Linked DNA regions of Alligator mississippiensis. The protein of the gene in region 2 interacts with the protein of the main gene of each other region in a biochemical or structural test. Links are inferred from orthologs where the notes say so. Each region holds a gene or a part of one and is shown on either strand. Other genes may lie near its edges.

Evidence for each region. The genes of interacting proteins can lie anywhere in the genome.
Region 1: the proteins of PPFIA1 (region 2) and GIT1 form a complex in vitro, tested with the Homo sapiens proteins (2 studies listed by BioGRID). The link is inferred for Alligator mississippiensis from reciprocal best matches to the Homo sapiens genes PPFIA1 and GIT1.

The regions. Positions count from the first base shown.
Region 1 is NC_081837.1:1,504,003-1,511,267, forward strand, and holds the start of GIT1 (ARF GTPase-activating protein GIT1), read right to left. Parts: upstream 3,010-7,265; 5' UTR 2,934-3,009; coding exon 2,882-2,933; intron 379-2,881; coding exon 245-378; intron 140-244; coding exon 27-139; intron 1-26. Other genes in the region: ANKRD13B (ankyrin repeat domain-containing protein 13B), read left to right, coding at 4,084-4,188. UniProt on the Homo sapiens protein: GTPase-activating protein for ADP ribosylation factor family members, including ARF1.
Region 2 is NC_081825.1:215,795,172-215,802,344, reverse strand, and holds the start of PPFIA1 (liprin-alpha-1), read right to left. Parts: upstream 3,005-7,173; 5' UTR 2,169-3,004; intron 201-2,168; coding exon 1-200. UniProt on the Homo sapiens protein: May regulate the disassembly of focal adhesions. May localize receptor-like tyrosine phosphatases type 2A at specific sites on the plasma membrane, possibly regulating their interaction with the extracellular environment and their association with substrates.

The sequences.
Region 1 (7,265 bases), on a different chromosome or scaffold from region 2:
CCCGCCCCGTGCCACCGGGCACTCACTGCACTTTGTCCTGGGGGTTGGCCTTGCGCCGCCCGCTCTGCACCTGCGCCGGGTCCAGCAGCGAGTGCTCCCAGATGGAGTTGGCCCCGTTGCTGGCCAGCGTGTGCACCATCTGCGGGGACACGGGCGAGTCAGAGCCGGGCGGGGGCCAGGGGCTCGGGGGGGCGCCCGCTCACGCCCCGCCGGCCCCGCGCGCGCTTGGGGGGGCGCGACCCACCTGCAGCAGGGTGGGGGGCCAGGGGCTGTGGCGCAGGTGCTTGACGATGGAGATGTGGCGGCCCAGGCTGCGGTGCACGCTGCAGCACTCGTCGCAGATCAGCACGCCCCGGTTGATGGAGGCCCAGCCGGGGTCTGCGGGGCAGGCGGGCGTCAGGGCCCCGGGGGCCACCCAGCATCCCCCGGCCCCGTGCCCATTCTGGGTCCCCCCACGGTTTTGGGCATGGTTGCTATGGAAACCACCAGGCCCTGGAGTTGCGGCGCTGTAACTAGGGAAACCTAGAGGTTCCCGTAGCAACCTGGCACGGGGGTGCTGGGGAGGAGTACCCCGCAGGGGGGGCAGCCTCAATCTGTGCCCAGGACGATGCTGCGCCCATTCCCGGGGGCCGCCAGCTTGGGGCGGGCACGTGCGGGGGCGATGCCTGGCCCTGAGGGGCACCAGCCCCGTGCCCCTGGGGGAGCGGGAAGTAGCCCCCTGCCCAGCCGGCACCCCCAGGGTCTCGGGCCCAGCGGCTCCCAGCCCAGCTGCAACGGCCCCGTGCCAGTGCCAGCTGCCCCTCACCCACCTGCCCCGCAGCCCGGCCTGGCCTCGCTGCCCCCCAGTCCGGCCCAGCCCCCCCAGCGCCAGCCCCGAGCCTTTGTCCTCGCTCTGGCACTCGGAGAACAAAGGGCCGTTTGAGACGCGAGCACTCGGCTCCGGGGAGGGGGAGGGCGGCCGGTGCCCCCGGGCACGGCTCCGCTCCGGCCTCGCCAGCGTCCGGCGCAGCGGCCGCCCCACGCGCTGGACTGGGGTGCAGCATGGGCCTCGCTGTGGGGGAGCCCCCGGGCACACGCCAGCCGCACGGCCCGGCCCAGCCGCCGCAGTGGAAAGGTCACGGGGAGAACGGGCGCTTTGTGCTGCAGCCGGAGCTGGTGCTGCCCTGGCCGGAGCGCGGCTCCGCTCCCCCAGCCCGGGCATCGGCCTGCCTGGAGCCCCCCCAGCCCTGTCGGTGCCCCTCACTCCCGACCCGCAGCCCCCCATGTCTTGTGGTGCCCTCACCCCCAACCTGTGCCCCCCGAGCCTTGCAGTTGCCCTCACCCCCAACCCATGGCCCCTGAGGCTTTGTGGTGCCCCTCACTCCTGGCTTGCTGCCCCCCAGGCCTTGCAGTGCCCCTCGCTCTTGCCCCGCAGCCCCCCATCCCAGCGGGTGCCCCTCGCTTCCGACCAGCAGCCCCCCAGCCCTGCCGATGCCCCTCACCCCAACCCCTGGCGTCATACGGAGGTGTCAGCCTGGAGGCCCCCCGGGCCACAGCCCCCTGCCCCCTCCCTGCCCCCCGCCCCGAGGAGAGGAGCTCTGGGCGCGAGGCCCATTGTGCAAACGCTGCCTGCAAAGTTCAAACCACCCAATTAGCAAAGCAAAGGCCGAGGCGCCGCAGGCCTGGCTCAGCTGCCGGAGCCGCAGGAAAACAGGTCAAGGTTTCTTTCCTGCAGCCGCAGGGCCCCGCGCAGGCCCAGGCAAGACGTGGCCTCCCCCTCCCCAGCCCAGGGCTGCCCCACGGCTCGGCCAGCCCCAGCCCCAGGTCCCCCGCCACCCGGTGCCCTCGCTCCCACCCCACAGCCCTGATGCCAGGGGGCAGGTGGCTCCGCATGGTGCTGAGTGCAGGCCTGGGGCTGGGATGGAGCAGGGCCCCCCGATCCGTGAGCAGCCGCTGGGCATCTGGGAGCCGCGGAGGCCAGGCACCCATGGGGCCGATGCAACCCTGGCATTGCCCGAGGGCCTTGCCCAGCCCCAGCCCACGCACGGGCCAGCTCCCTGTTGAGGATGCCTGGGTTCCTCAAGGACTCGGGGCCTGGGTGGCATGGTAGCACCTGGGGGGGCTGGCACAGGCCTCAGCATCGCTGGCCTCTGAGCCCTGCAGAGGAAGCCTAGCCGGGGCGGGGACCAGGCCCTCCCCGCGCTTCCTTCCTGCTGGGAACCGGACAGAGCGACTCTGGATGGGCGCGCGGGCAAAGGGGGAGCAGCTGGGCTTCGGATACAGGGCACAGGCTATGGGGCCACAGAGGCATTCACCCTGGCCCTGAGCCGTGGGCACCCGCTGCGCCACCTTGCCCTGGCACCCTGGGCACCGGCGCTCTCGGGACTGGAGGCGATGGGCTCGGGGCGTGCGGCTGGCACAGGGCGGGCACACAGATGGCGCGGGCGCGAGCGCGCTTGGCAGTGACGCGGCTGCATCTGTGCCTCTGCGCGGCTGCCCACGGGAGGCCGCCGGGCACAGACGGCTCTGCTCTGCGGCGGGCGAGAAGCGGGGCCTCCGCCCCCGGCCAACCTGCTCCTGCCCGTGGGCAGCTGCTCCCACGGGCCATGGCCTGGCGGCAGGTGACCAGGGTCAGTGCCCGTGCCCGTGCCCGTGCGGTGCCAGGAGCTGTGCGGTGCTCCCCAGGGCAGGCCCCGCCTTCCTGCCCGGGGCCGCGCTCTGCCACCGCCTGCCCGCGCGGCCGCGGGCACGTCCCTTACCGGTGGCGGGGTGGGTGCGGGGTGGCTGGGGGCCCCAGGGCTGGCGGGGAGCGGGCAGGCACGGCGGTGCCCGGCACGCAGGCGGACCCGCCCCGCTCCTGCGGCTGCGGCGGGGGCTGCGGGCGGGGCGGGCCGGGCCCTACCTGGGGCGCTGCAGTCGGCGCACACCTCCGCCCGCGGCGCCTTGCGGGACATGGTGCGGGCGGGCGGGCGCGCGGGGCCGGGCCGGGCCGGGCCGAGGGCCGGGAGCTGCGGGCTCGGGCTCGGCTCCTGCAGGAAACGGCGCAAGCCCGGCCCCGCCGGAGGAGGAGCCGCCCGGCCCGGCCCCGATCCCGGCTCCGCCCCGGCCGGCGGGGGGGGCTGCGGCGGGCCGGCCCCGCACCGCACCGCACCGCACAGCACCGCCCCGCCTCGCCTCGCCCAGCCGTGCCCGCGGGCCCCGCACCCGCACCCGCACCCGCCTGCCCACAGCCCCAGTCCCGCCGGCCCGGCCCGGCCCGGCCCCGAGCGGGAGGCGGCTGCGGGTGCGGGTGGCAGGAGGCACGGCCGTGCCCGCGCACGGCCTGGCAGTGCCACGGGGGCTGCAGCCCTCGCCTGCCACGCGCCGTGGGCGCGCGTGACTTGACGCCGGGGGCCGTGGGGGGCGCGCGGGGGTGTCGGGGTGGGGCCGGGCAGCGCCCGCGCGGGGCGGGTGGGGGGACACGCCGGGCCGGGCCGTGGGTGCAGGGCCAGGGGCCCCGCAGCGATTACTGTCGCCCGGGTGAGCACCGCGACATGCCGGCCCGGCCCTGCCCGCAGCCCCCGCAGCTCGCGGCTCACGACAGCGCCGGGGATGCCGCAGAGCCTGCGCGGGGCAGAGGGCTCCTCCCGGCCGCTGCCGCTGCAGCACGGGGCCCGGCCGCGAGGATGCTGCCCCTGGCCCCGCGCCCCGAGCCCCGCGCCCTGCGCCAGCGGCGGGGGATGCCCCGGCCCGGCCCCGCCCGCCCGCCCGCCCCGCCCCGCCCCGCGTGCTGGCACGGCCCGGGCACGGCGCTGCCAAGGCTGCCCGAGCCGGGGCGCAGCACGGCGCTGCCCGCGGGAGGCGGCGCCGGAGTCGGAGCCGGAGCCGGAGCCGGGGCCGGGCGGAGCGGCGCGGTGCAGCCCCCGGCCCCGCCCGGTTGCGGGACTACAAGTCCCAGCCGGCCCCGCAGAGCCGCCCGGGCCCCGCCGCGATGCTCCGCGCCGGCTCCGCCCGGGGGCTGCGCGCCCTGCCCGGCGCCCGGGGCTCCCCCCGCGCCGCCGCCGCCGCCGCCGCCCCGCGCCCCGCCCGGCCCCGGCCCCGGCCCCGGCCCGGCATGCCGGCAGCATGAGCGGCTCCTCCGGGCCCCGCGGCCCGGGCAGGTTCCCGCTGCACCGCCTGGTCTGGCACAACCGGCCCCGCGAGCTGGAGCGCGAGCTGGCCGCCGAGCAGGTGGGTGCCCGCGGGGATGGGCCGGGGCCGGGGCCGGGCCGGGCCGGGCCGGGAGGGGCCCGGCCCCGCCGTGCCCCCAGGGGCCCGCAGCCTCCCCCCACCCCCCTCCGGATCCCCAGCTGGCGCGGGGGTGGCGGGCGGGGAAGGGCACCTGCTCCCACGCCACCCCCAAGCCGTGCCCAGGCGGGCAGGATGGCGCTCCGGCGCGCTGTCACGAGGCCTGGTTCCTGTCCCTCTTTGCCTGGGCCACACCCGCCTTTCTTGTGCCAGGCGTGGGCGCGTGTGGCTGTGCGGGGGTCTGGGACTCGGGACAGGCCGAGCCACGTGCGTGCAGCGCCGAGCAGGTCGGGCCAGGGGGTTGTTCCCGTGGCGCTGGGTGCTTGGCCGGGGACCCGGTGGTGCCTCTGGGTTTGTAGCGGGGCCAGGGAGGCAGAGCCCCGTTCTGGGGCAGGGGACACAGTGCTTCTTGCGGATGCCACGCTCGCCCGGGTGCCGCGTGGCATTGCCAGGGCCGGGGAGGCTGGGGCTGGGCTGCCCCCATCCCCCAGCAGCATGTGGGCAGGGCAGGGGGTCTCCAAGAGAGAGGCAGCTGTTCAAGCACCCCAAGTGAGCATCCATGCCAGGGGGTGGCTGAGCCTCAGGGCTGAGCTCCTCCTGGCACGAGCAGAGAGGGGTGAGCATGGCATGCCAGGGCCCACCGTGCTGTGCCGTGCTGGGCCATGCCTGGCCCACATGGCCAGGCCACATGCCCACCAGGCCCCAGTGCTCAGCACCTCTCACACTGCCAGCGCGGGGCTCAGACCAGCTTGCAGTGCCCGGTTGGCATCGAGCCGTGGTCCCTACAGCTTCCTGGGGGATGGATGAGCTGTCCAGGCCCCTGCGTGGTGATGGGGTGATGGGGGTACCCAGGCATGGCAGGGAGGGATGAGGAGTGGGCTCGGTGCCTGGCTGGGCCTGATGATGAGCGGCCAGGACCCCATTCCCTTGCCCTCTGCCATGGGCAGGCCATGGGAGGGGCAGGGTCCCTGTCAAGAGCAGGGGGACGCTCCAGCCTGTCCAAGGGCTCTGGGCACCCCGGGATCCCCAGCAGCGCTGTCCCAGCGATGGGCTCAGCCCCGTGCAGTGGGGACACGTGCCCGCCGAGCTGCAGCATCCCCGGGCTGGCAGAGCCGGGGGCGGCGGGTGCAGGTGCCGCGGGTGTCAGGTTCTGCACGGGTCACCTTGTCAGCACTTTCCTCTGCTGCCGTCAGCGGCCCTGGTTCTGGGCCGACTCCCTGGCTCCGGCAGCCGGCCCTCCCTGCCGCCAGGCCCAGCAGGGCTCAGAGAGCAGTGGGCACAGCGGGGCGGGGGTGTCCCAGGCTGGGCCCGCTTCACACAGCCTCTCTGGCTGGCTGGAGGCAGATCAGAGCCGATTCCCACCCAGCGGGTGCCGGGGCGCGCAGCACACGTACCACCTCCGTGTCAGTTCGGGGATGACCTGCCCTCCAGGCTGTGCCTGCTGCACCCAGGCCCACTGGTGCCCTCTGGGAAGCCGGTGGTGCCCGTAGCCGGCTTGGCCAAGGCTGGCATTTTCAGCGCTGCAGAGAAACCAGAGTTTGTCCAGCATATGGGGAGGATCCTGGGGTAGTAGGGGGGTGCTGGCATGCCCAGCACAGGCCCCAGGCCCCTAGGAGCCCCCAGCAGACCCCTGCATCGCCTGTGCCGCAGAAGCCCCCGGGGTCGGCTCCCTGCCTCCTCCATAGCCCTTGCTGCCCCCCGGCTGCGCCCCTCTCGTGACGGATGGTCTGCTAACCACTGCCCTCGCTCCACGCCACCCCCGGCCTTGCAGCCTGATACTGCTGGTGTTATTCGGCCCCCAGAGCCATGTGCCAGGTGCTGGCGTGGGCCCTGCGCTGCTGAGCCAGCATCTGTCCTCCTCGCTCCGCTTCTCCGGGCCAGGCGGTGACAGGGCAGGCCCCAGCCACGATCCAGGCCATGCCCTGCAGCCTGTTGGCTCCTACTCTGCTCCCAGGCCCGCATCTGCTCCCTCCTCAGCCACGGGGAATCGGCTGGTCCCTGCCCTGGTATGGTTGCTGGTCTCCATCCTGGCACCAGGTCGCAGAGCCCCTGGCCCAGGGGTGCGGGTTTGGCTTCACTACAGTGGGGCGACAGCCCCTTGCCCACTGCCCACAGGGCACTGGGTGGACATGGGCACCATGCTGCCTGCCAGGTGCCAGGGCCAGGGCTGAGCGGCAGGCCAGGGGCCCCTGAGTCCCGTAGACTCCACCCCGGTGTAAATGGAGTGACTCTGGATTGACACCAAGTCCTAGTGCCCATTCCCAGTTTCCTGGAGCCACAGGCCCTGTGCCATCCTGTGCCCTGACATGGCCTGGAGAGGACCCCCCTGCCCAGAGCCCCCTGCCATCACAACCCACAGGCCCAGGGAGCCAGTGGCACCGGCTGCCGGGTGCGCCAGGGGTGTTTTCCTTAATTGGAGCCCTTTTCATTAGAGCAATTAAGAGTGAGCAGTCGCAGCAGAGAGCATTTAATTAACGCGCTGGCGCTGACGAGCAGGAGGCGCTGCTCCCGGCATCAGCTCCACTCTCGCCAGTGCATCGTGGCCTGTGCCGCTGGTGGCACAGGCGGGCACCGAGCAGGCCCCTGGGCCAGGCCGAGACCGGGGCAGCTGCGGGTTTGCCAGGGACCAGGACTTGGCTGAGGGGCAGGTTGTGGTGGGGACGGGGCGCGGGGCCAGGGCTGCGGGGGGGATCCCCCACTTGGCATGGCTGCAGCTGCTGGAGCCATGCCCGGGGCGGGGAGCTGGCTCACGGGTGCAAGCAGCCGGGCCAGGCAGGACGTGGTTGACCCGGGGCACGGGCAGGAGGCCGTGGCCACAGCTGGCTGCAGGCCACGGAGAGGTCGGAGCCCCAACACCCTCCCGGGAGCCCGACAGCCTCCCAGCAACAACAAGCCTTGGCCCGCGGGGCCAGTCTCGCACAAACGAGCATGGGGCAATTAGCAGCTGGGGGGAAGGCGGTAACGAGGACCCTGGGGGGGTATATCAGGCTCCTGCGTGCAGCCGTCTCTAAGCAACCTGG
Region 2 (7,173 bases):
TTGCCCTGTGTCAAAGCTAGTGTCTCTTGAGTTTCTCTTAGTGTTTCCAGGAGACGATCCCTCTCTTCCAGCATAGACACCATTAACTGCTCAAAATGGGAATCAGCATCCGATTGTAACGGGGAGCTTGAACCATGGCCTCCATTTCCCCCAGAGGGAATCTCTGCCTCACTGATGGTTGGCATCACCTCACACATCATCTTGAAATTAAGAAATTAAATTCAGGCCATTAATTATTAGCAATAAAGTACAGAATACAAATCCAAAAACAAAAATGTTCATAAGCCTAGGGAGATACAATGATGTTTTTCCCCCCCAAGAGTGAGGCCTGTCCCTTGCATTCTGGGCAGGCTTACCCGAGAGTTTTCCCAAACGTGGGAAACTCGACTACACAGTTGCATAGGAAAGTGGGACTGCTTTCTTGCTTTTCCTGGCTCACTCCTTGATCTTTTGGTTAGGAGCAAACAAGACTAGGGGGCATCTGAACCCCAGGGTCTCTGGGCCCTGGGCTTGCATGTAGGATGCCTGCCAGAGTTTCGGGGAGTATCCGAAGCCCCAGACTGACGCGTCTGAGAAGGAAGATACTTCCCCAGCGGTAGAGCCACATGGACTTGAATGACTGAGCTCTGCTCAGTTGAAATTTGAAACTTGGCTTTTGAGATTTGCCCAAGTGAATTTGGAACTGATTTGGCCCTTGAAACAAGATACATAAAATGAAAAAAAAAAAAAAAAACTATTGAAGAATCTTATCTACACCACATACGTGTGTATCTGTAATACACCATCTGTTTAATCCCACCTGTGACAGCAATACTAGAAGCTAACCTAACCTAGATAAGACACCATGTTGTATGTGAAGAGAGAAGCAAAGCCTAAGACCAAACCTGAAACAAATTCCCCTGTGCCAGCTGCAGGAAAAACAACTGGGTTGTATGTTGGACAATATTAAAAGATAGGTTTTTCAAAGTGGGAGAAAATAATTCTCATTCATTCAGAAGTAAACTGGTCACTCTGAAAAGGGCATGTATACAGAGTGGGGGATTTCCCCCCTCTACAAATAGGACATCCCGACTTGCTACAGCTTAACCCTATGCACACAGCCAAACATCTATAGTTTACTGGATTTAAGGCTATATAAACCAGTGTCTTAGGTTTGAAAAATATTACTATTGCAGTTTTGTTACAGTATCACTTCCTACCAATGCCAACTCTGTTGAAAAGCTACACATCTACCACACTATTTCTGATGCCAATTTATAAAGGATGCATGTGCTTTGTTTAAAAAGTTGTTTGGACCTTTAAACAGTATTAAGCACGCCTCAACCCAAAAACAACAACAAAAAAACCCACAAACCACACATATTGAAGCCTATATCATACTTCTTTCAAACTCTTGATACTGCACTCCACCATCCTGGGAAGAGGCACTACTTTCAGCTGCCACCGAAGCCACAAAAATCTCTATTGGACAATTTTACTGCATGAAAATTAGCAACAGCGGATTTCTGCACCCGGATGCAGCCACAGGGAAAGCCAAGAGGTCAACCCGGAGAAAGTGAAAACGAAAAGAAAGGCTGTTCAAGGTCTTAAATACTAAACAAACAGGACTTGACTGCTAGCCAGCACGCTACATCAGCAGCTGTCAGATATAAAAAGAGGGACTGAGACACACGCAGAGAGTATGATAAAAATATAAACTTGGAAGTATCGTTGTTGTACACCCCACCATGCTTAGTAATGGCAAAAGCATAAGGCCTCATGCTGGAGGGATCCTACATTTTACAGCCTGGTTTGAATCCTGGGCCACCCAGACTTCAGAACCAAGGGAAGTTTCTGTCCTCCTGCATTTGAAAAGCAACGAAATACATAACCAACAGTACCACAGTGTCAACTGCCATCAACTTTTCTCACGGGAACTGAACAAACGATGGTTTATGAAGCTGCACGTGCAACTTTTAAACTATCCCTAACGAAAGTACGGTGCCTACTTCCTAATATTGGAGTTCCTAAGGCAGTTGTTAAACTTATTTGTGACAAGCAGAGCCCGCACTTCTGAATTAATGAGAAGCTCCCCGGGAAGGCCTGTCCCAAGCACCAGCACTGTTTTATACTGGGGCTTTTAAGCTGATCTGAGGCAGGCGCCAGCCACCCACTGCTCGCTGCTTTACCTTGGTCGATGAAACAAAGCGGCGTCACCGTGGGCCCAGGGTTTCGGCAGCACCAGGTCTCCCCCGCGGCTTTCTCCTCTCCTACTGCCGCTGCAGGAGCCGCGAGCCCCTGTAGCGGCGCGGAGCTGCCATCCAGCGCCCTGCAATATCCGTCCCGGCGCCCCAAGCCGGAGCAAGAGGCGGCGGAGCGCAGAGCAGGGCCCCCGAGTCCCCCAGGCACCAGCCCGGCCTCAGCTCCTCTCCTCCCCGCTGCCAGCCCTCGGCGCCGCCGGGACCATGGGCGGGGGAACGTGTCCGCTGCCGCCTCAGCGCCGCCCTCGCCCGCGGCTCCGGGCGGGGGAAGCAGCCGCAGCTCCTGGGCGCTGGGGTCGCAGCCGCGGGATCCTGCCCTTCCTGCCGCGTCGCTCACTCATTTATACCCCGGGCGCGGGGATGGCGGCGCCCGCGCCTCGTCCTCGCGGGCCCGGCTCCGGCTGCTGCTACCCTGGGGCGCTCCGCGGCGCGGGCCCCTCACCCGCACTCTCACCGCCGCCGCCGCCGCCGCTCCCGGCGTGCCCCGCGCCCGCAGCAATCACTGCGCGACCACAATGCACTGCGCGCCCCGCGGCTCGCGCCGGGTCCAGGCCCCTCCCCCACGGAGCCGAGACTCGGGCCAGCGGCAGCCCCAGAACGCTGGGCTCCAGAGCGCGGAGGGCTGCGCTACTGTGCGCGTGCGTGGGACGCTGCCCGCGCCACACACCCGGCGAGGGAGGAGGGGGACTGTCCTGCGCTCCGCTTCTGCCCACAACCAGCGCCTCTGAGGGGCGCGCTCTTGTTTTCCAGAGCAAAAAAAAAAAAAAAAATGTTGGCAATCAATTAGGTGTCACCGCCTTAACGCCAGCAGTGGCTGGAGACAATCCTACCACCCCCCTGCAGCCAATGGTAGTGCCCTCCACGTCCCGCGGCCAATGGTAGTGCCCTCCACCCTCCGCAGCCAATGGTAGTGCCCTCCGCCCCCCGTCCCGCGGCCAATGGTAGTACCCTCTGGTGTCGTGTCCTACCTCCTTCCCCCCAGGTAGTGGTAGCGTCCGACGGTCGGGGGCGCGGTGTAGGGGAGGGAGGAGGGTCTCACCGCTACTGTGCCCCTCCCCCTCGCAACTGCCCATGGGAGGTCTCTTCCAGCGCTGCCCGCCGCCCTCTGCTCCTCAGGCAGGCTGCAACCAGCAGCCTGGAGGGTGAGCGAGAGATCAGGACAGCCCCAGGGCTGGGGAGATCACACGAGTGTTCACTGGCACGAGGTTGGAGCCCGGCTGGGTTCAGCGGGGGCTGGTGATGGAGCAAGGAGCAATGGTCCCAAGTTGCAGCAAGGGGAGTTTAGGTTGGATATTAGGGAAAACTCTCCCACTACGAGGGTAGGAAAGCACTGGAACAGGTTCCCCAGAGAGGTGGTGGAGTCTCCATCCTTGGAGGTTTTGAAGACCTGGCTAGACAAAACTTTGGCTGGGCTAATTGACTTGGGAGATGTCCAGCTTTGAGCAGGGGTTGGACTTGATGGCGTCCTACAGTCCCTTCCAGCCCTCATTTTCTGTGAAAACACCTCGCCTATTTTCGAAATAGTGCTGTGGTGATGTTCTTGACACAGATATCCTTATGAAGATGATCCTGCGCTGCTCCCTGTGTTCACTTGCTCCCTCCTCAAAGGGAAAGCATGCCTAACTGTACTCCAACTCTGCCCTGGACCCAATGAACAATGGAATGACCCCCCCCCCGCCCCCGCAAAAAAACAAACAAATCTTTGCCTTGTTATAATGGTTACTCATTCCAGTCTTGGTAGCAATACCTCTACCAGCACAAAGCACCTTTATGCCAGTGAAACTGCTTTCATGTGGTCAGATGCACTGCCTTACAGCCCTAAGGCCTGCTTTACACGACAACGTTTTAGTAGCATAGTGTCTATGAGTAGCTACTTAAAATTAAAAAAGCAAGCCACTAATCTGATAAAGCAATGTCAGTAAATACCAGCATGTTAACAAAAAGTCCTTTCCTGCTATAGCTTATTGCCATCAGGGAACACACTTAAGCCATATCAGCAAAAGAACTTTCTCCAATATAAACTGCATCTCCACCAAAGAGCTGTCTGTACAGGGACTCCTCAGCAGCACCAGTCCCTCAGTACCAGAATGACAGTCTTCCAGTAAATAGGGAAGTCATTATTATAGGGACTGAGGAGATCCATAGACAACTGGTATTATAGTACACTGAAAGCTCTTTCACTTTGGTGGAGGGAGCTTATTTCGTAAAGCGTGGGGAACAGTGTTAGTCTTCTAATTCAAACCTCAAGTACAGGCTGATTGATACTACATGGTATTATTTTAAATATTTGCCTTCAGCAGTGCTGATTACTGATGGCAGCATTTTCAGACTGGTTCAGTCCTGTTAAACCCAGAGCCTCAATTCAGCAGAGGCAGCGGCAGGGCTGTTGGAATGCACAAAAGGAAACAGGGACTGCATGAAACAGCTTGTTACAGGTTTGTGTGAGACAAGTGACATTAAGCATGGTACTGAAATTAAGCATACACTGAGTCTGTCCCACAAAGAATTGTGATACTGGCTTTAAAAAAAAAATCTTTAAAAATAAATATGTAACGAGAGCATCTACATGTGCACTTTAATGTGCTGTAGCCTATTCTACTGCGCATTGAAGCAGCACTTAAAAACCATGCTAGTAAGCTAATGTGCAGTAAAATAGGCCAGCAGTTCCCAACCCCCGGGCCACAGCCTGGTACTGGGCTGCAAAGGGTTGGCTGCTGGTCTGCAGGAAGGTTGACTGCTGCAGACCAGAAGTGACTGCGGACCAGCAAACTGCAGACTGGCCAACTGCGGACTGGAAGTGACTAGCATACTCTGGACTGGCAGCCAGTTTTTATACTGAGTATAAAAAAGGGTTTGTTTCCTGCCCACAGTATGCCAAGTCACTGCTGGTCCGCAGTTTCCCAGTCCACTGTTTGCCGATCCTCAGCATAAAAAGGTTGGGAACCCCTGAAATAGGTTAGTGCACATTAAGCATCACCTAAAATGTGTGTGCTTGCACTACCATGCATTAGCACAACCTGATGTACATTTATTTATTACCTCATATTGGAGGTACTAAATTTAATATGCTTTAGGAAAATCACATTAATGCACATGTAGACATGCCCATTGTGTTCTTCATACCTGCCTTTGGTATCCAAGCCATAAAGGTGAACACAGGTTTCTTGAAGCTTTTCTCTGCAACCAAGTAGTTTAAAACCTTTTTAAAAATAACAGCTAAGATTTTCATGGAATCACATAATTCTGAAATTTGTGGCTTTACTAAAAGCACCACATATTGGGCCACTTCCTACAACTTACAAAAATCAGGCAACATTGGTCAGCACAGATTTTGTGTTGACTAATCCACAAACCAAGTTTCATTATCCAAAGTAATAAGATCTGGTTTTCTAATGTAGAAAAAGAGTAAATATTCAAGCTGAAACTAATTCATGTTATTCCTAGAAGAAAAGAAAACTGATTTTGCTAATTATACCTGTGCTGTCAAAATGATCTCAGTAAAACTTTATACATAATCATTATTAAAAGCACAGGTTTTAACGTAAATGTTGGAAAACAGTCACTTTTGCTTCTGATTTGCTTCAGATTTATTCCTTGGCCCCCATCCTTTAAGTGGGTCTGCACTGAAGCCCAATGATGCCAGAGGGGTTCCGTGTGAACACAAGCTTTACTTAGGAAGAAATAGCCAGAAGATCAGAACTCTTGTTATAAAACAGGGGTGGCCAACCTGTGGCTTGTGTATGTGGCATACAGCAGACTAGTTATGAGTGATGGCAAGCAAATAATCTAGAAGCCCAATAAAATTAAATGGGACTACAATGAATTAGTGGATTTTCTCCCCCAAGTTCTAGTTCTGGAACTGCCTCTATATAGGTAAACCATTGCACTTACAGGGAATTATTTGAAGAGTAAGCATCCAATTGTTAAAACCCCAATTAATATAAATGTTTTCAAATTAAAATATTATGGAAAAAATATATATTCCTATGTGGAGGCTATGAAAATATACTTTTAAAAATGCACTGTACATAGCTCTAAGCTTCAAAAAAATCTTATTTGATTAGACTGGAATTATTTGGGCTTGTATATTTTCCCTCCTGCAGGTTTTACCAGGAAGAGAAGAAAAAATAATCCAAAATCATCCCAATTTAAAAACTAGGAAATTTTTAAAACCAACAAATTTTTCTTCTACTCTGTTTTGCCCATGCTTGGAAATATTATGATAATTCTCCACTTGGATAATGAAAAGCTTTCACAAGTCCCTTTTTTGCCTGGACAAGGTTTAAAAACCACAAGGATAAGAATACTCAAACTGATCCCTGTCTATGGCTTACACCAGTGGGTGTGGCGCCAGCAGTGAATTATTGATCTATAGGCAGCCGTATAAGCAGCATGTGACATTGTTTTCTGTGCACCGCACCTGTACGCTTTAAGAATTCTGCCTATTCACAGTGGAAAGAAACATCCTATTCTGAAACGATTCAACATGTTACAAGGAAGACCGAGACATTGTGTTATCTTCTTTGGACTTTTGTCCTTTCTTGTTTTATTGTTTTCCCTAATGTAAACTGAACTTAAGTTAGACTGAAAGTTGTCCAGTTTTCTGTATGCAGGAAACACTGCAATACCCCCCAATTGGCAAAAGGTCCCAGGCACCCCAAGAACCCACAAGGAGTATTGCAACTGCTTTTCCCTTCTCCATTTTAAACTGTGAAGCAGCTGGCTTCACCAACATGGCTGCATACTGAACTTCCCCCCTCTGAATGGGAAGCATCAATATACAATTTAATGTGTTCTGCTTCTAGAAGTAGTAATTTCCACATAGGAAGCCACATATGTTGAAAGCAGAACATATTGACCGTATCAGTTGCCTCTCAATCCCAGCCTACACCAACATACATTCTTGTCCCACAGATAAGTACCATGGGCTCAG